Coturnix japonica: one gene and its partners. The protein of the gene in region 2 interacts with the protein of the main gene of each other region in a pairwise test. Links are inferred from orthologs where the notes say so. Each region holds a gene or a part of one and is shown on either strand. Other genes may lie near its edges.

The links.
Region 1: the proteins of RAPGEF4 (region 2) and SWAP70 interact in a two-hybrid assay, tested with the Homo sapiens proteins (2 studies listed by BioGRID and IntAct). The link is inferred for Coturnix japonica from reciprocal best matches to the Homo sapiens genes RAPGEF4 and SWAP70.
Region 3: the proteins of RAPGEF4 (region 2) and BMERB1 interact in binary tests that used the Homo sapiens proteins (3 or more experiments, as listed by UniProt). The link is inferred for Coturnix japonica from reciprocal best matches to the Homo sapiens genes RAPGEF4 and BMERB1.

What each region holds. Positions count from the first base shown.
Region 1 is NC_029520.1:13,498,440-13,505,425, forward strand, and holds the end of SWAP70 (switch-associated protein 70), read right to left. Parts: intron 6,460-6,986; coding exon 6,261-6,459; intron 5,095-6,260; coding exon 4,998-5,094; intron 3,995-4,997; coding exon 3,885-3,994; 3' UTR 1,935-3,884; downstream 1-1,934.
Region 2 is NC_029522.1:15,616,654-15,624,525, reverse strand, and holds part of RAPGEF4 (rap guanine nucleotide exchange factor 4), read left to right. Parts: intron 1-205; coding exon 206-312; intron 313-2,188; coding exon 2,189-2,310; intron 2,311-3,416; coding exon 3,417-3,600; intron 3,601-7,872.
Region 3 is NC_029529.1:7,341,743-7,349,614, reverse strand, and holds part of BMERB1 (bMERB domain-containing protein 1), read right to left. Parts: intron 3,301-7,872; coding exon 3,177-3,300; intron 1-3,176.

The DNA of each region.
Region 1 (6,986 bases), on a different chromosome or scaffold from region 2:
GTGCAGACATGCCTTTCTCTGGAGGAAGGAACGGGCCCAAGATGGGGGGAATATATTTGGAGGTCTTTTTAGAGGTTTTGTGGGATGGATATAAAATCTGCTAAAATTAGGGTTAGTTTGTCTTATTACTTTGTGTTTTGGTTTGTATTCCATGTTTGTTGCTATGTACAGAAAAAAAGATACAGGATGCTATGAACTGTGCTTTTTCTATTAATAAAGAAGGGGGAGATGTGGGGGTAGATGTAACTGTGAGCAAGTCACTAAAGAGCTTATCAGACTCTTTGATAGATCCTATCACTGTGAAACCCTGGAAGACCAGAGAGTGAGACAAGAGACAAGCAGTGTCTGTTTGCATCTAAGGGTAGACAGGAGCTTCCATTGATGTGCATTGTTAATCCTGTTACTCTTAAGAGACTTTTCATCCTTTATCACTGTGGTTTGGGAGAAGCTGGACCAATTAACTGATTAGAAGAACTGTTAGAGGAACAGTTGAAGATCAATAACCAGGAAGAATCTAGAACAGACATCAGACCCTGTGAAATCCGGCCACTTCACTGGGTAAGTATTTGTTGGTTGTCAATAAAACTGCAGAAGGCATTAGAGGCTTGACCGATCTCTTGCATGTCTGTAATGGACATTGCTGAGACCTTCTGCAGTTTTTGGAGAGCCTGTCTGGATGTATGAAACTAGGAAGACTGGGATGGACTAGAACAAATAATTTCTTTGTAAATAACAGTGATGTAGAATATTAACATGCTCAATATGAAAAAGGCTCTCTGTGTTCAGGGAAAAACACAGTATGTGTTAGCTTTCTTTTAAATTATCTTTGTATATCTTTGTGTATCTTTGGAGCTTAAAATGTAGTCCTCAGGAGTAAATACTGCATCATGCGATACACTGGAAAAGACTTGAAATGCAACTACTAAAAGATCCTTTTAATGTTGGCATAACAAAAACTTTGTGCTGGCAAGTTCTACAGCTAATGTGTAAAGGCTACATTTTGCTGCTGGAAAATTACTAGAAAATAAAAGGCTAAACATAAAGAAAAAACAACAACAAAAAACTTTGCTGTTAACTGTCCTTGAGTCTCTAAGTGTGTGAGTGCGTGGAAATTAATTAGACACTAAGTGTGTGAGTGCGTGCCAGTTCGACACTATGTGTGTGAGTGCGTGGACAAAATCCGACACTGTGTGTGTGAGTGCGTGGCAATTAATTAGTCACCAGCTGTGTATGTATATTCGACACTATGTGTGTGAGTGCGTGAAAATCCGACACTATGTGTGTGAGTGCGTGGAAAATCCGACACTATGTGTGTGAGTGCGTGGGAAATTAATTAGTCATCAGCTGTGTATGTATATTCGACACTATGTGTGTGAGTGCGTGAAAATCTGACACTATGTGTGTGAGTGCGTGGAAATTAATTAGTCATCAGCTGTGTATGTATATTCGACACTATGTGTGTGAGTGCGTGAAATTCGACACTATGTGTGTGAGTGCGTGGAAATTAATTAGTCATCAGCTGTGTATGTATATTCGACACTATGTGTGTGAGTGCGTGATGGACACTATGTGTGTGAGTGCGTGGATATTAATTAGTCATCAGCTGTGTATGTATATTCGACACTATGTGTGTGAGTGCGTAAAAATCCGACACTCTGTGTGTGAGTGCGTGGAAAATCCGACACTATGTGTGTGAGTGCGTGAAAATCCGACACTATGTGTGTGAGTGCGTGACGGACACTATGTGTGTGAGTGCGTGGAAATTAATTAGTCACCAGCTGTGTATGTATATTCGACACTATGTGTGTGAGTGCGTGGACAAAATCCGACACTGTGTGTGTGAGTGCGTGGAAAATCTGACACTGTGTGTGTGAGTGCGTGGAAATTAATTACTCACCTTGTGTGTGCATGAAAATTAATAATCCAGCTCTATGTTCTGAGCTGTCACTGATGTTTATTACTTTATTAAATAGCTCATTCTAAAGAACAGTAAAAAATCTGAAAACGTGCATCTTTTGGTGTTCTTAAAAAAAAAAAAAAAAAAAAAAAAGAAAGAAAAAAAAAACCAAAAACACCACATTTATTCAAAACAAAGACTGCTATGAAAATTACCAAGTTTGGCCCCAGAAGATGACTCCTATCTTCTGCTCCCCACGAGAGGCACAGAGCAGTTTATAGATCATGTTCCTTTTTATCTCGCAAATTTTAACATTAGTATTTCCATTACAGCTTTTTTCACATTTTTTCTATAAACAAGATCAATATAAAAGTGCCCTGTTAGCAAACTTAAGAAACTACTGCTTTTCTGTACAGTAAATACAAATAGGACAATCCTGGATTTGCCTTCCATTTTACCATTTACCATAGCATCCCATTTACCAAAACATTGAAAGATTTCAATTAGTACAAAAAAATATAATCAAAGAGTAAATGTCTAAAAAGATTGCAGTATTTGAGTGAGTCCTAGTTAACAGACAATGAAAATGCTGTCGAGTTCTTAATCTGAAGCTCCGCCTGTACAGCGTCTGAGAGCTGAGCAGCGCCATGCTGTGTCCAAAGGCACTGGTTACTCACCTAATACGTTCACATCTTATTTCCTAAAGGTAATTTAACATCGAGCTGAATGAAAAACTGTTATGTTTGGTGTGTGTGCAAAAGTCAAAGCTGATTAACAAACCACAGCAGTGGGCACCTGCTCTTCACAAGGCAGGACTTCTCAGAATGCCAGTCGAACTTCAGCTAGACCTCAGTCTGGTGAGCGAGCTACGGGGCAACATCACACACTTGTTCCTTCCCCGCAGAAACAGAAATCCCTCTCTGGTTCTCTACAGAGAAGTTTAAGACTCCATGGAAAATCCTGGTTACCAGTAATGCTGGAATGGATGGACAGGAATTATTTTGTTGTGTAGCAGTACTGCTACTGACTCATCATTCTCATATCAAATACAAATGTCAACTTTAGTTTTCATCTCCCATTTTTCTAATCAGGCCCTTAATGAAGAATAAGACAAAACAGAGTGCTACAACTATAGGACTGGTCATTGCATCAACAAACATCTTACATAAACATAGGTTTGATGTAGATATTTCATCTCTGTGCCGTCACGTTCCATTTATGCACTCCAGAACAATCTGAGAGACAAAAGTGAGCATCTGTTAAACCACAAACAGTGTGTTGTGGTTTTCTGAGTTCTTAAACTTTTTTGAAGCCAGCCTCAGGTATGAAGCAGTGACAAGATCAATCTTGCACGACTGCTTTGCCTAAATTTTCTGCAACAGCATTTTGCACATGCCTCTTTCCAATGCTTTTATGTGCATTCCTGCAGAGGACACACAGATCACAGGAGCCAGGAAACAGAGACTGTGGGTACACAGGGATGAAGCCAGCGACATGAAGAGCAACAGGCAGACAGAGGAAAAAGCAAAAGGAGCCTAAAAGGAAAGAAAGGTAATGCTCTGGACAGAGGCCACAAGACTGACTTCTCCCAGGTTTACATTATACTAAGTATAGCAATTGCTTCCCTTGCTTTTTGAAATGAGAAGGATGGTGCCTGATGGGTTAGATGCTGCCTGTTTGTTACAGGCTAATATAGAAACCACTGTGTCACAGGCTACACTTAAATAAAAATCTTCAGTAGAAAAGTCTTGCATAAAGGAACAGGATATCTGTTAAGGTGAAGGAAAACAGCAAGTACTGCCAGACAGCACACAGTGGTATAGTTACTGAGCTCTTAGTAGACACTTCTGCATGGTAAACAGCATTTCCTTTGTAGAAAGGCCATCCTGCTGAGTAAACTAGCATCTTCAAAAGAGCAACAAGCTGTTCTGTGCAAAGCAGAGTGAACAAGGGTGGACTTCTGTTCACAGTGTGTCAGCTATCATCATTACTCAGAAGAGGCTTTTTTCCCTTTCCAGCTCTTCTGTCTTTGCTCCAGTTCAGCTTCAGTGAAGGCTGCCGGACCCCAGTTTGTGATGAGGTGTGGATTCTTGGAGCCTGGAAGACAGAGAGCATTGAAACAAACGTTTCTGACAGTCCCACCACTCCCACAGCAGCAGGACAGACTTGGGATGGTTTGGTCAGCATTCAATGGCTGGGAGCTGTCTCAAAAGGCAGCGCAAGGAACCACCTCACTGCAGCAGGAGGGACACTGGGGACACAGCAAAGGTGCTTCAAGGGAGAGGTTCCCAGCTAAACATCCAGTAAGTGGTGAAGGGATCTTTCCTTTGTGCTTTTGGCAGAACACATTTAGGCTGACTAACACTCATACGTGCCACCTTCCGGTTGATCCTTGCTTTGTTTAAATATATATAGTAACACAATGCAATACTATAATAATGTAAATATTAGAGACAGAATGATATACTGCAGAATGTTGTATCTTGACATCAGTACAATATTATGATACAAAGTAGCAATATAATGTAACAGTAATTGCATCATGTCACAACATATGCTATATTATGAAATAACACTAAAAAGAAATAGTTTTAGCAAAGCCACTAGAGGGGGTAAAGATGTGAAAAGGTTCTGATGTTTAATTTTGCACAGGTTTAACACTCCAGGTAGGTGGATTTCATAACGCCCCTTTTGAGAGCAAGAGCCTTTATCTACTGCTAAGTTAATAATACTCATTTATTTCAAGTAAAACCAAATCCTCAGGGAGCAGCAGGTCTCATCAGTCGAGATCCTTCAGTACTTACACTGCACACAGGCAACAAGTTTTAAGTCCTGTATTGATGGTATTTTTTGTAATACACTGTATGTAGTGCAGAGTTGCAACTTCTCTTTCTTCTGAACCATGTAGGTTCTGAATGCAGAACAATCCTACCACTCAGACGGAAGATCCTACTTTGAGCAGCAGTTCTGACAGTGTAGTGTTTATTGGCTGTAGAGAAGCCAGTAAGTTACAAGGAAAGGTGGCCTTAAATACACAGCTGGCTGATGCACATACATGAGTACTCTGCCTTTGTGATTTTCATGTTAATTACTTACTTACCTGGCTCTATTAGTCGAATCAGTCCCTCATGGTGAGCTACTTTGTCTTTCCAGCTCCTGGTGTTATTAGCTGCCGTTTCCAACTTCTTTTTAACCTCCTGAAATAAAATATAGCCCCATTTAGACTGGAAAATAACTGTATTGTATTTATACACAAATAAAACACTTTAAAATACAACAACAACAGAGTGCTGCTGCTAAGCCACAAGCAAGAAAGAGATTCTTCTGCATAAACAGGGCTTTCAGTCAGTTCTAAATCGAATGATCAGTTATTTCTAGAATAATGTCAACTCCTCCACTCCACCACTTCAGTTTCACTCTCTGTTTTTTAATTCTCACATAGTCAGCCATTGGTGCAGAGCAGTAAATGATGCTGAATACACAAAAAAGCTGAGTATTATCTGAAAGCAATGCTCACAATCAGTTACATGCAGCTCCCACCCAGTAAGTCATAAAATGGCCAGAAATATTCCATCTTGGAATCACTGCAGTATGTCCTGTGCCAGTCCAGGCTGCTCCTTAGCTCCTGTGAAGCACAGGCTAACTCCAGGAACACGGTGACAGCATCAATACACTCCCGACTAAACAGAAATCTCACTGTTTTGTTTTCCTGACCTAAACAGTCGGGGTCAACACCTCTCCAGCCCTACAGAGCACACAGGAATCCAATATCTGTACTCAAGTGATTCTGAGAAATACTTCACATTTCTTCCACAAGTTCAAGCTGCTGGCCTGCACACTCAGAGGAGCAGAGAACATGCCTGGCATTTGGGAGACCAGGCACTGCTCCACATTAAAGGACCTAGACTCATTCCTTGCCATCAATTCCAGTGCTTAAGTACTTCTAAAGGAACAAGAGCTTACAGGTGCACATCAGGATTTCATATGTAGAAGACACTGCCCCAAATCATCAAGACACTGCAAGAGTAACTAATTTAGAAGCATCCCATTAAGATAGCAATGGGACTGCATATAGTCTACAGCAGCAGACAGGTACATGAAGTATTTTAGGCTATAGCTGAGCTGGCTTGAGTAGGAATTAGGATAAAAGAATAAAGGAGCGGTATATTTGAAACCTGTCCTCTTCTTCAAATGTAGCGGTCTGTGGCAAAAATAAAAATAAAGTCACTTAACTACCCTCCCTGTCCTTATAAATCTCGTACTTTACTAATCCTTTAACAGGTGTGACACTGGTGAACTTCAAATTCAGTTCAAATACTGCATACCTGGCAAACAGGAGAGGCTGATAAACAGAACAACTCACCTCATATTGTTCAAGGGCCTCTTTCCTTTCCAGTTCAAGCTGTTCCAATTGCTGCATAGCAACCTGAAGGGCCTGTTCCTTTATCATTCTCTGGTTTTCTAGCTCCTGCTTCTCAGCTTCTGTCATCTGAATGGTCTGTTGCTGCTGCAAGTGCCATTTTTCCAGTTCAGCTCTCTTTGCTGACTCCTCTTCCAGTAACCTGCAATGGGGATTATGGCGTCAGCTGCACTTCACAGTAAGCTGTAGCCATTACATAGCATACAGAGGAGAGCCAAGTTAATTATTTTCTTTCTTGGAAATTTTAATTAAAAATAAAGTCAAATATTGGGAAGCAGAGAAAAAGTCACTGCTGCTTGGCTTGTCTTCAGTGTGGCATTGAAAGTCAGGCCAGCAGCAGCAGGCTCACTGCTACAGGGGCTGCTCAGAAAATTCAGTCAGTGATGCAAACGCAAAACATTAAAAACCAGAGAAGAAACAAACATGATTTGTCTTAACTGTCTGGAGAGGAGTAACTCCATGAGGAAACAAAGCACAGAAAGCAAAGCCCATACCTGCAGCAGATTTAACCCTTTGACATCAGTTAAAATACAACAACAAGCTGCATTCACAGCTGCTGCTTTACAAAACACACAACTGAAAGTTTATACAGAGAAATGATAGTTTTTAAAGTGTGGACAGGCACAGTGCATGGTGAAAACTAAGTGAGCCTGCACTCCTGAAACTGCT
Region 2 (7,872 bases):
CATGCCTTTCTTAATGTGCTAAGTATGAGAGACTTAATAATTTACACAATATATTGCATTGCTCTGCATAACTAAGCATCTGTACGAGGACTTCTAATTTAGGAGGAAGAGAACTTGTATTTTGTTTTGCAGAGGGCAGTACAATGACTGTGGAAAGTTTTAAATGTGTGTGTGTTGGTCCCTTTTTTTCTCCATGATCACCAAGGTTCCTTCAGAAAAGATCCTCAGAGCTGGAAAGATTTTGCGGAATACAATTCTGTCCCGAGCCCCTCACATGATAAGAGATCGTAAATATCATCTGAAGACTTACAGGTGTGTGAGCCTGTTTTTATGCCTGCCATCCTCTGATTTATTATTTAAGCCTTACCGTACTCTCAGGTCTCAAAAGGTCTAAAATTATCCAGTGATGCTATTTGAGCCTGTATGTTATGAGTCTTTAATGAGCCTGGTAAATCCATTCTGAAGTAATTTGACTGGAAATTGAGTCCACAGTTCTGAACAGATCATTCACTTAAAAAAAAATGCTCCCAAAGTTAATGGCATAGTTAGCTGGGAGATTCTGTGCAAAATGTAGATTCTGTTTACTTTGTATGTCGGTGGGATGTAATATGAAAGCTTAATTAGATTGTTACTGTCCTGATTGCTCCAACGAAGCTGCTAAGTGTGAAACCTGAAAATTCACCTAGTGAGAATCGTTCCTTATGTAGATTTTCCGTCCTATTCAGCCACCTTCTTCAGTGTTATCGTCAGGCTTTCTTTTCTTCCTGCTGGTGGCAGCACCGTCCCGTTGAAGTGGAACAGCAATAGCACTTTCAGACAGCAATCTGACTTCAGGGAGTCAGGCTCTATCTACTGTTGGCTTAGGAAATAATCAATTCGTTTTAGCATCTAAGGTTTGAATCAAATACCTTATGCATTATTTGGTGAATATTTAAATAAAAATTGGTTTAAAACCTCTGAGCATGTATTTTTCTAAATAGCAAATCAATATGTTGCTGATTTGCTTTTAAAGTAAGGGCATTGATTTTCCCAATTATTGTCCAAAGTATATCTAATATTATATGAGGTATTTGGAGCTTGTGTGGTGATCTGTCATGATGTGGCATTGGCTCATTGTTTTAGAACAATAAAAGAGCAAGCATGATATTTGAAGACCAATGCTGGTCCAAACAGCTGCAGCATTTTATCTTGTACAAAAATGGGGAAAACTCCTACACTGTTATCCCTGGGCTTTTTAAATATGGAATTTCAAACATTAGATTGTATCCAGGTGATACAAGCAGGTGTACCAGGTACAAGTGTATCAAAATGGGGTGTTAATTGCAAGAGTGTTATTTAAGCTAAATTACAATAGTTTCAGTAATATCTTCTTAGTTGGTCTCAAAAAGTGAGACACGAACTGTGGAACCAGGCCATTCTATGTGTCATCAGTTACAGATTTGCTCATTTTTGATCACTTTGCACATTTACTTCTGTTCTGCTGTGTTCGGATGTGTTAAGACAAATGTCCTTTGGAGAAACACCAATTTTACATGGTGACCACCCTTCCCCCCTCCTCCCCACCCCCTCATTTTTTTTTCCTTCTCCCCCCAACTCCACTTTGGGTACTCTGCAGAATTTGAGACCTGCTGTTGTTCACCTCCAGGTCAGTCAGGAGCTGCAAAATGACCAGAACCTGGCATGAAAGAGCCTCATGTGCACTGTAGACCTGCAAACCAGTGCCCTCAAGTACAGTCTAGCTAGAGAGAGCTTGGTTACAAACGGAGGAAAATGCACATAATGCTCACTCTCCCTATAAAGGCTGTTCTCATAGTCAGAGCTATTATAATGTTAAATGTTTTCATGCAGAATGCTGAAAAATTTGAGGCTTTCACATGACAGATTTTCTCTGAAATTTGGGTTGAAGGTTGCTGCATCAATGCTGTGGGTTTTGACCAGCTGTTACAGGTTCACTCTGATCCTCTGAATGTTGCATTTCCCTAAGCATTTGCTGTTCTTTGAAGCAGTTTCTCTCAAAACATAGGTGCCTTCACTGGTATTTCAGACATATAGGCAGAGACCATGTAATTGTCTTCTACAATGATATCTGACTAAAACAGAGTTTGAGATATCACTGCTGTTAGCAGATACTGTTTGTGATCTCTCTATAAGCAACCTTTTCATTCCTTTCTGTTCATTTGTGCTTCAGGCAATGCTGTGTGGGGACAGAACTTGTTGACTGGATGATGCAGCAAAGCACTTGTGTCCACTCACGAAGTCAGGCTGTTGGCATGTGGCAAGTATTGCTGGAAGAAGGCGTTCTTAACCATGGTAAGTTAAAGACATTCAGAGCCTTGACTAAAATTTGATGAGTGTGTCCCATCAGTGTCTCTGTGGATTTCTTTGGTGAAAAATAAAAGGATTGTGAGCCCAAATGAAAAACTACAAATAAACCTTTTCAGAAGCTTGATTTGTACACAATATACAGATGATAATAATGGAATCTTGCTACCAGCATACCTTTATCATTTATGAAAATACTGAAAAGTCAGTGAAATTTCAATGTAAGTCTAGTTAGACTTATTATTACACTGATTTGTGATTATATTCCAGAAGTTGGATATCATCTGAGCCAAAACTAAGATATATGTTGCCGTACATAAAATTGATCTTCACTTCCAAATGCTGCAAAATTTTTACTTGAATGTAAGCTTTTCTGTTCGCTCATATCCATAATTTTTGGATGATTTTCAGTGGTTTTTGAATGGTTCCCAAATTCAGCACTCCAGATATCCCAGTGCAGAGATCTGGGGTTTTATGTTAGTTTTCTGATTGCATTTTATGTTGCCTCATGGGTTCCACTTGGCAAGATTTACTAGGTAACAGAATGTTATAGCCCTCCAAAATGCAGCTTTCTAAAGCAGTATTCATATCTAAAGCTGTGCATGTACAGTTTTATGAAGTTCAGAACAGCCACACTATTACAGTATACTTCCAGTCATTGTCTGTTGTGCTTTCCACATCCCAGGAAGAACTTTCCTTTCTGAGAAGACAGATTATTTCCACCATTTCCTTTCATAAAAGGCTGTAGCTTACATTCCTGCCAAATACTGTTTTGAATTCCTAGGACCAAGCTGCTCCAACTACATCACACTATCCAGCTCAATACACCATTATGAGTTGCTTGGAAGACCAGGGATTTGTCTTTTGCTGTGTCACAGCCTCTCTTCAGCAGTCTTCCAAGAGAAGACTTAACATTACACTCTCCACTAAGATACAAGTCAATGGTCTTCACTCTGGTATTACATGTTGTTGACACATTACCAGAACATGATTTTAGCTGCTTCTTGGTTTGTTACTTTTCTGCTCTGTCTGAAACAGCCGGGGTAAGGTGTTCATGCTGGAGTACAACTCTTAATATATTCTGTTGTTTCCAGTGGACCAGGAGCACCACTTTCAGGACAAATACTTATTTTATCGATTTTTGGATGATGAGCGTGAAGATGCCCCTTTGCCAACAGAGGAAGAGAAAAAGGAGTGTGATGAGGAGCTACAGGACACTATGCTGCTTCTGTCTCAGATCGGGCCGGATGCACATATGAGGATGATTCTCAGAAAACCGTAAGCAAATTAGTAAATTAATGGTTCAAATGTGTCCTCCTTGTTACATTGGAAGGCTACGTATATTACCAGGCATCCTTTAGCTAGTTATTTCAGTGCAAGTTTACTCAGCCTCTTACATTTGTTAGTCAACACTAAGTAACTTCCAGTACTTATTCATAAATTGGAACATATACCTGAAATAGTAATCAAAAGCTATGAATGTTATCATACCTTGTAGAAAATGCAGCGCATGAGTTTTTATTTCATTTCTGAGTATCACTAGCAGTAAGGTACAGGTTCCATTAACACTTTCAGTGCTGGTATGCCGTTCAGTTAACTGCACCACTTTCAGTTGTTACCAGTGCTTGGATGGTAAGTTTGTTAGCACAGCAGATGCCTTTCAATTAGTCATCAGTGGGAGACCTTAATTAATTTCATCTTTGGTAGAACTTTATTGAATTGAGAGAATCTGGACATTGCCTGTTATACTTTGCTAGCAAGGTATGAAATATAGCTCTTTGGGTTTGTTTATCTATTTTCATTGTGGTTTTTTTTTCTGTTTGTTTTGTTTTTGTTTTCTGTTTTTTGATTTTTTTATGTAAATATTTCCTATACCTAGGCCAAAGAGGATGTCTGTCTAACCTTTTCATAGCTATCAGATTATATCTTCTCAGTCATCATTTGGCTAACCACCCTTTCAGCAGTACATTCTGGGTTTTTTTTCCCACAGGCAGCTTTATAGTGACTTCAAAGCAAGCAATATAATCTCTGTTTGACCTTCCATTACAAGCAATCTCTTTATTATGCAGGTAGTGTTTAGGAGCTACTGAAGACATACTTTACTGCTAATTAAGTGCGCTGAGAATAATGATTTATTTAAGGTCATTCTCACTAATGATTTACTTGTAAGGGTCAGATCAAGGAAGGTAAGTACATAGAGCTAAATCCTACTCCTTTTGAGGCCAACGGCAAAGTTTGTCTTTGTTACAGGAGTGCCTTGGGCCATGGCTACTGTGTGAGAGAAGTTTTAGGCTAAAAATATCTAGAATCCAATACAACTGCTTATTCTTGTTCTGGTTCTATCTGTATCCTTTCTCTGCTCTATTCTTGTCTCAGTGTTGTCTATTTAGATCATAAGCTTATTTGCGCAGTGGCTCAGCATTCCCTGGGAATACAGGTTAGGTGGCACTTATCCGAAACCTTGATGAAGGTGCTGAATTTCAAAAAGTTCAACCAGATGTTTGTGCTCACAGAAGTTGTTTAACACTACTGTGCCAGAATAGCTTCTCTTTCCTCCATTTGGTAGAAGTCTAGTCCAGGACAATCCCTGTCACACAAAACACACAGGTAAACCAGACTGGGAGCATGGTATATATGTAAACTATTATAGTATCAACAAAGTGAAGTATTTTCTTCTCACAAAAATGTCCTGTGCTTTCCAGTGAGGAGTAGAAGGCAGCTGTGAGTAGTAGTTTCATCAGGAGACTATGAGCAGCATCCTGTACGCTATGACCTTGCATCTCTGCACCGTCTCCTTTGCCTCTGTCAGTCTGCAGGCTAGATCTTAGAGAACTGCCCCCTTAGTTTGTGTGCTTTCAGCCACCTACTACATTCTCTTTGCATTGTGACTTTCTGATCACCCAGTGTAAGTTTACGCTGGCAAGATCAGTGCTGATTATTGTCCACACTCCTTGCAGAGCTGAAAGGTTGATGTGATGCTGTGAAAAGTATCGCTTTCCCCCCTGTGTTGTTACTTGCACAGCATCACCTGAAAGAATATTCATAGGAGATTTTTCATGCAATATAGTGAGGGGAATTGGGTTTTCCCAAGACTGACATTCTCTGACATTTTTCCCTATTTCTGTCCCTGGAAGTGCTTATTTTGCTGCACTTTGCTCACGGGAACAAGTTTGTACTCTCAGGCTCCATATTAACTACTCTTCTGGTATTCAGTTTACATATGTTATGACCCTGCTAGTTGAGAATCATCTGTGCTGAGGTGCATCAAAGCTGCTGAAATCTCTGTGAATCCTCAAAGTCCTGCTAATTTTGACTAGGTGCCATTACAGCTGCCAGAAGTTCAAGGAGTGGTCAGGCCCTGAGAGATGCTAGCTGCAGCTGACCTGAGCAGGGCCACAGTTTTTAAACCAACACAGCTGCCTTTTATAGCACTCACCATTTCCAGAGAGGTTGCAGAACTTTGATAATTACCCTGAAAGAAATAAGACAATATTCTTTGATGAGAAGATAGCTTTGAGAATTTGATTGTATAATGAAGCTGTTGCTTTGAAAGGTACTTTCTATTGTTCAAAATCTGAAAATCTCCAGTAAAAAGTGTCACTTGTTTTGACAGCTGACTTAAAAAATTCTCTGTTTATTACATTAACTGCAGCATTTTAACTGTCAGACTGTGAAAGAATGTTCTATAGTTTAAAAAACAGAATAGAGCTCAGGGAAATTTTTTTTGGCAGGCTCTTGTTGCACTTGAGGGATTTTTTTTCCCCCTTTTTTTTGAAACACATACAGTGTGAATGTGAAAACAGCTTTTTGTGAAGCAGCAAACACTGCTCTCTGTTCCCCTGAGGAAGGAGCAGACCTTGTGCAAGTCATTGTAGAATTAACACAGCTCTTCCTCACAAGCTTTTCAATCCTCCACTGTGAAAATACATGCTAACAATGTATTTTTAGTTGATTTTAATAACATTCAGGCGTTGCTAACCTCATGGTTGCTCCTAATTAAATAGCATACTGTCATACAAAACTGAACGTGGCAATAACAGAAGTCTTTAAGGAGAAGGTGTTGTTCATAAGAAAATGATATTTAGCTAAGATGGATTATGTGCTGTGTTTTAATACAATAGTCTACAGTAAATTAACAGTGTGGCAGAAACTGTAATTCTCTGTCATACATTCTTGGTGACTTCACTCAGCAAATTGTATTCTGAAGTACAAAGATTGTGATTCCACATTTGATGAGTAAGCAGTCACTTGTGGAGTAAAGCTGAAGAAGATGCTAGGGAGATCTGAACTTAATAACGAACAACACAGACAGATATATAATAACAACATAATTACTGCTAGTAATATGTAGTTTTTTGAAGATGTTCTTAAAAATAAACAAGATCTGTTCTTCTGTCTTGAAGAATTTTTATTTAGATATCATTCTACACAGCTGTCAGTATTAACCATACTGAATTATTCCGTAACAACTGTATGATGTTCCATAGTCCTTGATGGGGTTTTCTGACAATGGCATTTAATAAACTAAATGTTATTTGTGGTGGGGGTAATGCAATCTTTCCACATGTCAGTTCAGTGATATTTACAGGTATCATTTGTGACAAGTGGTATTTATGGGCTTATTTATATTAGTCAAAATGTACCAATTCAAGTACAAAGATTATGTAATTTGCTTCTATTCTAGAGTAAGTGAATGTGCATTCACTTCCATGTTCAGATGCAGGTAGTGGACAAAATTATTCTTGTCTCCTACATAGACTTCGTAGTACTTGCAGGCAAAACTTGTACTCTGGAAATATATGCTTATTTGACACATGATATTATGGGGCCTCTGATCTTTTCTATTGTTCTTATAATCTGTAAATTTTCTGCTTAATGGTGTAACAAGAAATAGTCAATGACATTTTTTGTGTGTACACAGTTTATCAATCACAAAGTGCTATGTTGTTGTCACACAGAAGCTCAGTATCTCTGACCTTGATAAATTCTCCAAACACTGAACTGTTTTTATTGATCACTTAATACCACCTGAGTTCTCCTGTCCATTAACGTGTAGCCTTGTTCTCTATCTATGCCGTTTATTATCCTGTCTATAACCAGCTATTGCAGTTAAAATATGTCCCCTGCTGAAACTAGGCCTTTACACAGCAGGATCTTACAAATCAACATCAGTGGGTCACCACACAGGTTTTACAGAGGCAGTGATGCCTAATGTCTCTCCATGTGACATCTGCAGAAGCAGACGTAAAGAGTGGGTACATCCAGGATAGATTGTCAGCCTTCCCAATGGGCTAACGCAGGACACAAATAGATATACTGAAAGAAGAGTGTAGCCTTTTGTCTTGATAGATATCTGATGTAGTTAGATATCATTCATTCATATGCTAATCTCATGCAGGAATTTGTAAATGCAACACACCATCTTTTCTGTTTTTCAAGACATGCTGGTTTTGAAGGGATGCAATAAAATTCACGTTGTTGCTTTCTGTGGAAAGAACTTTTTATTAAAATCTTCAGTTTCTTACATTCCAAGGAGAAGTAGAAGGTGCA
Region 3 (7,872 bases), on a different chromosome or scaffold from region 2:
TGATGATTGATTATCTGGCTTTGATTTCTTTGCCATCCTATTCTTTCCTTCACCCAACAAGGTGACTCTTTTAAAGCTGTTAGTGATGATGAACCATTCTGTGAAGATTTTAATTAGATACTGAAGCGTACATTTAGGAACAACATGAGCAACATATTTTGTTTATCCCTTTTGTTATCCTACAGACTTCATTAGTCATTGGCATTGCTTTATTTAGTGCAGGAAAGTTAATACTAGCCTCCTTGTAGAAACACTTAACTAAGATAAGACCTAAGTGTCTTGGCTTTCAATGTAAGCAAAGTTATTTGTATATCTTGCTAATGACTTTGTCGTAAGAGTTCGTGTTTTTTGATGCTGAGAAAACCTGAGAGACATACTTTACAGATAATAGCTGAGGAACTGTCTGAAAGAATATTATATTAACAGTGATCTTGCATATCAGCTGATTCATGTTTAGAAGAGTGAGAAAATGCAAACTGACTTCTGTCCCTCCAGGCCTTCTTAGACCTGTTTGTTTTGCGTTTGTACTGGCTGCTATGCTAACCTGGAGCAGTTCTCTGCTTCATGCCCTTTACTTTATGGTTACTGCAGTTCTTCAGGCAAAATACTGATGTAACAGTTGAAACTTAACAAATATTGTTGCAGAGCTGCTTCAGAAGATCAGTGATAGTGAGTTTTATTATTATTCCATCTCAGTCTGCTTTGTACTTCTTCAAGGAAAGCAATAATTTCAATTAGTAGTTAGAACAAGTTCTTTCCAGGGATTAAACATCCATAGCTCTAATAGGGGAAGAGTTTGCACTGATTTTCATCAAAAACAAGTTTGGTTTGGAGTGTTCTGTTTCTTATTCATGAATGCAAACGCTTATAAAATACAGTGACCATGCTGTGAAGAGCTGTGGTGGTTGCTGGTTTAAGTAAAGCTGAGTGCGCCATTAGTACTGATGATACATTCAGAACATAAGCTCTCCAGCTTACTTTCTTTTATTTTGTCTTTTTCTTTGATGTAAGTCTACAATATGCTTTTTTTTCTAGCTTTAGGATCTGGTGACATGTGAATGCAAAAACTAAGAAATTCAGTGTGACAGTGAGAAGAATGAATCATTATTTTTTGAAAAAGGACATGTAATCTGTGGCTGGATGTGTAACTGATATAGAATTAATTGGTTCATCATTTTGTTTGTGCTTTTGTAAGAACTAAAACCCACCCAGCTTAGATCAAGAGGATTTCTATTCCATTGCTCGCTAACAGCATGAGAGAAAAATCAGGAATGCCAACATACTGCACGTTTTCTCCACTACTGTTAGTATGTTTTATTCTTTTGTTGTAAAACGATGAAAGCTGAAGTAGGTGTAAGAACTAAAGTGATCTGTTTCTCGTTAGAGCTGATCTTCGGCTTCTTGGTGTGAGCACTGGTGCAGCACTACTTTTGGCAGGGGTGCTGTCAAAGTCAAGTCAGCACAATTTCATACAGGTCATTCAGAGGGGAATCTAGTCTTGTTAGGAGAAATCAATTCCTAAATATACTTAAAATCATAATGAATGGACAGACTTCTAGTGTTGGAACACTAGCAATCCACTGCTTCAGGAAATAAATGAAAGAAATATACCTGGCTGTATATAAAGTCTTTTTCAGTGTGTCTATGAGTTAGAGTTTCTGTAACTCGTCTAGCTGAATAGGTACAAAACAGCGGACAACTGGGGAGTGCTCTTAGGCAGCTCTAGGCACAGTGTGTTTGGATATATGGATGTATCTAACACAGAAAGAGCATTGTGCTCAGAATGAATGTCAGTTTTGTTCCCTTTTCAATAACCACACTCCTCTGCATTCAGTTCATTACTCAGATACCTACCAGGCAACACAGAGTGGTGAGTGTGATGAGTGTGAGCACAGGGGAAATGAAAAGAGACTGGATTCAAGAACAAAGAATGCAAGGGAAGGACATGCAAAATTATGACAAGCAGGTGTCTGCCATGGCTTTCATTCACTGGGACAGATTATCTTTGTCCCATTGCTTTGTTTGGTATAGAAAATGTTAACGAGAATTACAGGGTTTGATTATGTGGATTTTTCTAGATTATATTTATGTAAAAGCCAATAATCAAGTACTTATTTAATGAGTACCAGGAATAGGTGTGACAAATTGTTTATCTTATTTATACCACTACAGCCCAATTAAAGGACAGAATAACTGTTACTAGTCTTTACTGCCAAAGATCTCTGGTCTGGGTTAGGATCTTCTGTAATAATAGTCAAGATAGATGTCTGTGCTGCTTGATGGTGAGCTTTCCAACTTCTGAGTGCACAAGTAAGTCAAGACACTGAAATTAACCTCCAGCAATAATAGTTAAAGTACCACTTTTAAATTTGTATTTTACAAGAAGAGACAAGTCAGTTTTTCTCGGGCTACAAGTAGCTTCATTAATGCCAATGCACCTTGTTTAGCAGGTATCAGACTTACTGAGGTTCTTGTCATTTAAGGCATTCGCTTCTAATCTATGCTTCCTATTAAGTTCTCATCTCCTAAATTTAGTGATTTAGAAACACAAACCCCACTGACTCCATCAGAACTGGGTTGATATTCATTAACATTAATTTGGGCTACAATGCCTGACCCTGATGACAGTTTTGAAAAATCTCTCATGGAATATCGTTATTTAATTTGATCTATGGAAATGTATTTTGTGTTTATAACTTAATAGCTTTCATTTAACAAATGTCAAACCTTGGCTGCTGTTAGTCTGGAACATGGAGTGCCCTCTTTGTCACGAACTAAGACCACTAATGAAGTGAGGAATAAAGCCTGAATTAGTTCAGCCGTTAGAAGCTCCGATCCCCTACCTGTTGATATTTCCTTCAGACAAACATCCTTTCCACAAAGGATTGAAGTCAGGTATAAAAATATTCTCTGTAGACAAGTACTTTGCTAAGGTTTCCTTTTGTAAGTAATACATCCCTTTTTTATTGTCTGCAAATCATGCCAAATAAAAAAGGCAATTTCCTTTGCAACTACAAAAATCATTTCCCAGTGGCATTTTGCAAGCATTCACCTAGCTGGGATGCTCTTTATCCATCTTCCTTTTAAAATGTCAAGCAGATATGAGTCTTCTAAGTAGCATTCTTTCCTATTTTGATTAATTTTGCATAGTGTTTCCCAGAGGAATTGATACTTACATAAACCTGAGTTCTGATTCTCTTCTGACTAAGACTTCCCGAAGTCTCTGGATCTTTGCCATCTCTAGCTCTATTTCCTCAGGCATCATTGTTGTTTCAGCCATTGAAATGATGTCAAGTTGATCTGCATGTGAAAGAAGAGGAAAAAAAAAATAAATGAAGCTGGTCAAACTATCTTAACAGGGTTTTTTAGGAATGCAAATTTAACCACAGAGTTATCTGGCTATGGATTAATTAATGAAACTAGTGGAGACTCTTCTAGTTGAGTGCTACGTTCACTGGTTTCTTTAGTGTTTTGCTTATTACTTTCAGTGTAACCATTTTGAAGAATTCCTAAACCAAGTGACCTTTATTTCTAGTCAGAATAACCCTAGAGAATCCTAACCCAGTGTGTTAACTTCAGCTTTAGTTCCTTAGTGGGAATAACTACAAACTTCGAAAGAATAGCCTTAGCTACAAAGCTCATTCAGAGCAATTACTTGCAAGTATGAAGAGTCCCGTCTTAGCCCAAGTGCAAGCCCTGAAAACTGATGAAGGTTTCCCATCTTCAATTCTTGAAACACTTTATGCCATTCCATTATGTCAACATGATGTACAGCACAGACTGGAGAATAGCTAAAGATGTGACTGGAAATGATGTAGGGCTTATTCCTGCAAGGAGGTGAGTGTTCCTCCAGAGAGCACTGATTAATTTCAAACAAGATTTGAGAGACTAAGACTAACACATAGAGTGCTTGTGTATTTTGGCAGATGTGTTCCTGAAAGGAGGCCTGTTCCAGCACTACAAAAAAGGTTAAAAAAGAAAAAGGAGAGGATGAAATAATTATGCAGAATACAGGAGCCAAAAAGTATCTGGAATTAAAAAAAAACTGCTCAACTAATTATGAGATGAATTCCCAAGTCCCTCATGACAGACTAAGCTAAGAAGAATTTCCAACAGAAACACAGGGTAGAAATAAAACTACAAAATCCCACCTAATAAAATAGTCAGAAAATACACCTCTCTGCATCAACTTAGTTTACAAAGACCTGTTCTCCTAGCATGGAACGAATCAATGCAATTCTAGAAGATAGAAAAATAAACACTTTGGGCTTAACTTTATCTTTTTTTTTTCTCGAGTGGATTGGTGGTAAATTCAAAAATGTAAGAAATCACTAATTTTTTTAAGAGAACAGAATATTGAGAGGGGGAAAAGTGACTATTGCTCTCCTACAGCAACAGGCATTTGATAGTAGTAGTTCTTAAAAACTCATGTTGCAGAACTTGTTGGTAGGGTAAGGCTATTTATTGCCTCTAGAAGATGGTTTTTCTTATCGGAAATCATTGTGTTTGTTGGCGTATATTTACCTGAGGTGTAGCCTGGATGGTTTAAGAAGTTTTGTTACAGCTCTGTCAGTGACAAAGCAAAGTCACATGTAAAGAGTAAGGCTGCTGAGTGTTTTCAAAATCCACCTACCTAGCAGGTGGTCAGAACTGCAATTCAATACTCAACAGATGTAGGTTCTTTTGACTGCTGTTCGATAAAACATTGATCCTTTAAGCATAGTTTTGCCTCTTGTTGCTTTTCAGGGCTGTGGAGTTATTTTAACTGTTTGTAGCAAAATTCGTTTGCTCAAAACTATATTAAGCAGGAGTTAGGAAGCTACTATGAATTAAAGCCAATAATATTGGTAACTAGAAACTGAGCCACAAATATATTGCATGCGTATATGTTTTAAAATTAATTCTCAAGAGCTCAGAAAAAAAAAGGGAAAAAAAATAACAAAAAGGAGCTTCTTTATTTCCACTCTACAACTCTAGTTCTGAGTGACCCACTATTACCCTTTGGTAATATACTGAAATCACAGTGTGATTTCAGTAGTTCAGGAGGGGAATCATGAGAAACCTTATGCCATCTGTGCCTAGAGTCAACGCTAGAATTATTGTGACAAGCACAAGTCTAGTCTGACCCCTTGCAGTACAGTCACAGATTCTCCTTCACATCCTACTCAACGTGTGTTTGAACTAGAGAGAATGTTCTTGAAAGGTATCCAAAATTATGTAGTGGTATCAAAAGAATCCAAACTATAAGCAAGGTGCCACAGATTTAAAAGTAGAGGGAAATAAATATAGAAACTGTAAGATCTCAGTTCACAACCTGTCTGCAAACTTAGGGATGCAACTAGAACAATACAGAGTATTCCAGTTTATCTCCACAGCAGTACGTGTCCCATAAGCATACTGTAAAGAAATTCTCATAGAAATTTCAGACTGGAAGGAAAAATAAGAAGAATTGAATTAAAGCAACTTTGAGGCAAAAAACAACAAATAGGACAGTTGAAACAAGAATAAATGTGGAGGTGAGGTTGCAGAGCATGGTGGTACTGTGGTTCTGGAAGAGATTTTTATGAGCCAATTCTAGAGGGATACACGTGGTCTTCCAAGAAGGAACTGAAGGATAAAGTCCATGCTTTATGCATCTATATCTTTATCTATACGCTGTTAAGGAACCATACGATTTTGCATCAGATTTTCAGCTTTCCTAAAGTTCCATTCCTAAAAGTTAAGAGTAAATGAGCTCCTTTGATAGCTGCCCATTTACCTTACTCTCTTATAGAGAGTCCATAGGTCTCATAAACTCAACAGAACTGCAGTATGACATGCACTTTGGCTCTCGCTGAAGACTATGTATTTTTAAGACAGGCTTTGAGGGGAAGATGCACAATTAGAATGCAGTACTTCTTGGAGTTTTTGAAACAGTAGAGCATAAGTGCGGGGATACTATGGAAATATAAGCCACTAAAGAGGCCACAGGTCAGGATTCCCCCTATATACCTTAATTGTTTTGATTCTCAAAAATCACCAACCTGTTTGTGCCTGAATTTCTCCTCTAGTATTGAAGATAACTGGCCCATCCTGAAGGATGATCATTGTTTATAAAATGTTTTGTGCTCCTATAATGAAATCTCTTGGAAAAGACTAAGTTAGCATTATTGGGCTTCAAGTAAGGCTCTAGCTCTGCCCTGGTGATGAATGACACCTTTAGTGCTCTGAGGCATGGTTCCGTACGGTTTCATGCACAAGTCTCATACCTTTTCATAACAGAAAGGAGAAATGTTTCATTTTATTTAAAACAGACATGTCACTGTCAACTATTTTTTTTAAAGCATATATTGTTAATACAGAAATCAAAGCTCAGACTGGTAATGAGCCAGAATTCATAAAGCAAAAGAGAAAGCAACAAGGATTAGTCACAGCTAGTGACAGGATTGAATTACTCCATGCTGTACAATCCCCGGGATAATTTCCAGTGACAAAGAAACAAGTAAAATATTACTACTCTATGCACAAAAAGATATTAACATGAAAATAATTACTGTATAGAAATAAGATTATTGTGCTATTACATATAATGAGATAGAGTGGAGAGGTGAAACACAAGCATGTTTGCTTCGATTTCAGTGTAGACTGGCATAGTTAAAATGGTTATTAACTTAATGATCACGCTGTACCCTCAGTGTGCCAACAACAAATGGAACATTAGCCACCTGTGATGAAAAGCAACAAAAAAGTGAAATACCTATTAAACTGGTAAATACAAAGAAAACTTTAAGGGAAGCTTGGAGCAGCAGAAGGAGAAATGGGAGAATGCACTGTACCAAGTAATAGTTTTAGAACAATTGGTAAGAAATGCTGTGCAGAAATGTAATTATCAGCAAGAATCCTGCTGCTGTGACTTGATGCAAGCATACTGTAGTCCACTGAGAAGCTCATTGTACTCTACAACCATTAGCTTGTTTAATTCTATTAATTCTAATTTAGGAGGTTTATTGTCATCATCTCTTTTGTTGTTTTCTTTTAAATAACAAAACAAAAAAACCACCAGATGCATGGAGAAAGTTTTAATAACACCAAACCTGTGCCTCTGGAACCCTGAACTATGTCATTGTTATTCTGGTTGTATTGAGCAGCAATTAGATCTCTATTCTGTGAACACCTATAGCAGCACACAGACAATCTGCAGTCCAGAGGCAGTAGGAGTGACGAGTTGCTTGTGAATACGCAGCAGGTTTGTAGCAGAGCTAATTCAAGGTCTGATGGATCACCGTGTCTCTTAAGGATGTTGTTCATCCTTTTTCATACTTGTGAATTTGTTGTGGTTGGAAACAGAAAATCGCTGAGCCTTGAATAATCACTTCAGTTATTTAGTAACAGAGGAGCCATTCCAGCAAAAGTAAGGGTAACTATCCAGCTACCCTGCCACTTCTAAAATATTTAACAGGGATGAGCTATCTTAAATGAGACACTGTGTTTCATCAGCCTGTGACTTCTCTGGAAAGGACTGCAGAGCATTCCAGTTATAGGGCTTCTCAAATGTGGACAGCACTGAGTAACAAACAGCAGTTCAGCCCACCCAGCTGCAATACTTCAGCTGGAAATGATTTTAAGTCATTGCTGATCGGTTTGGATTCAGACTGAGCATTTTTAGGCCTATTTCCACTCCCTTTAGTTGCCAAATAATTAAAATAATCCTTGTTAAAAATACCATTAATGATTAAGTTATGTTCAGAATTTAAGTCAGCACTGGTCTTTCTCAAGAATTGAAAGAAGTTCTCAAACTAACCCATTTTCACTGAAGTATATTAAGTGTTATTAGAACAAGTGCATTCCCAATGCTGTTTTGAGTCTAAAAATCAAGGTTTTCAAGACCCCTAA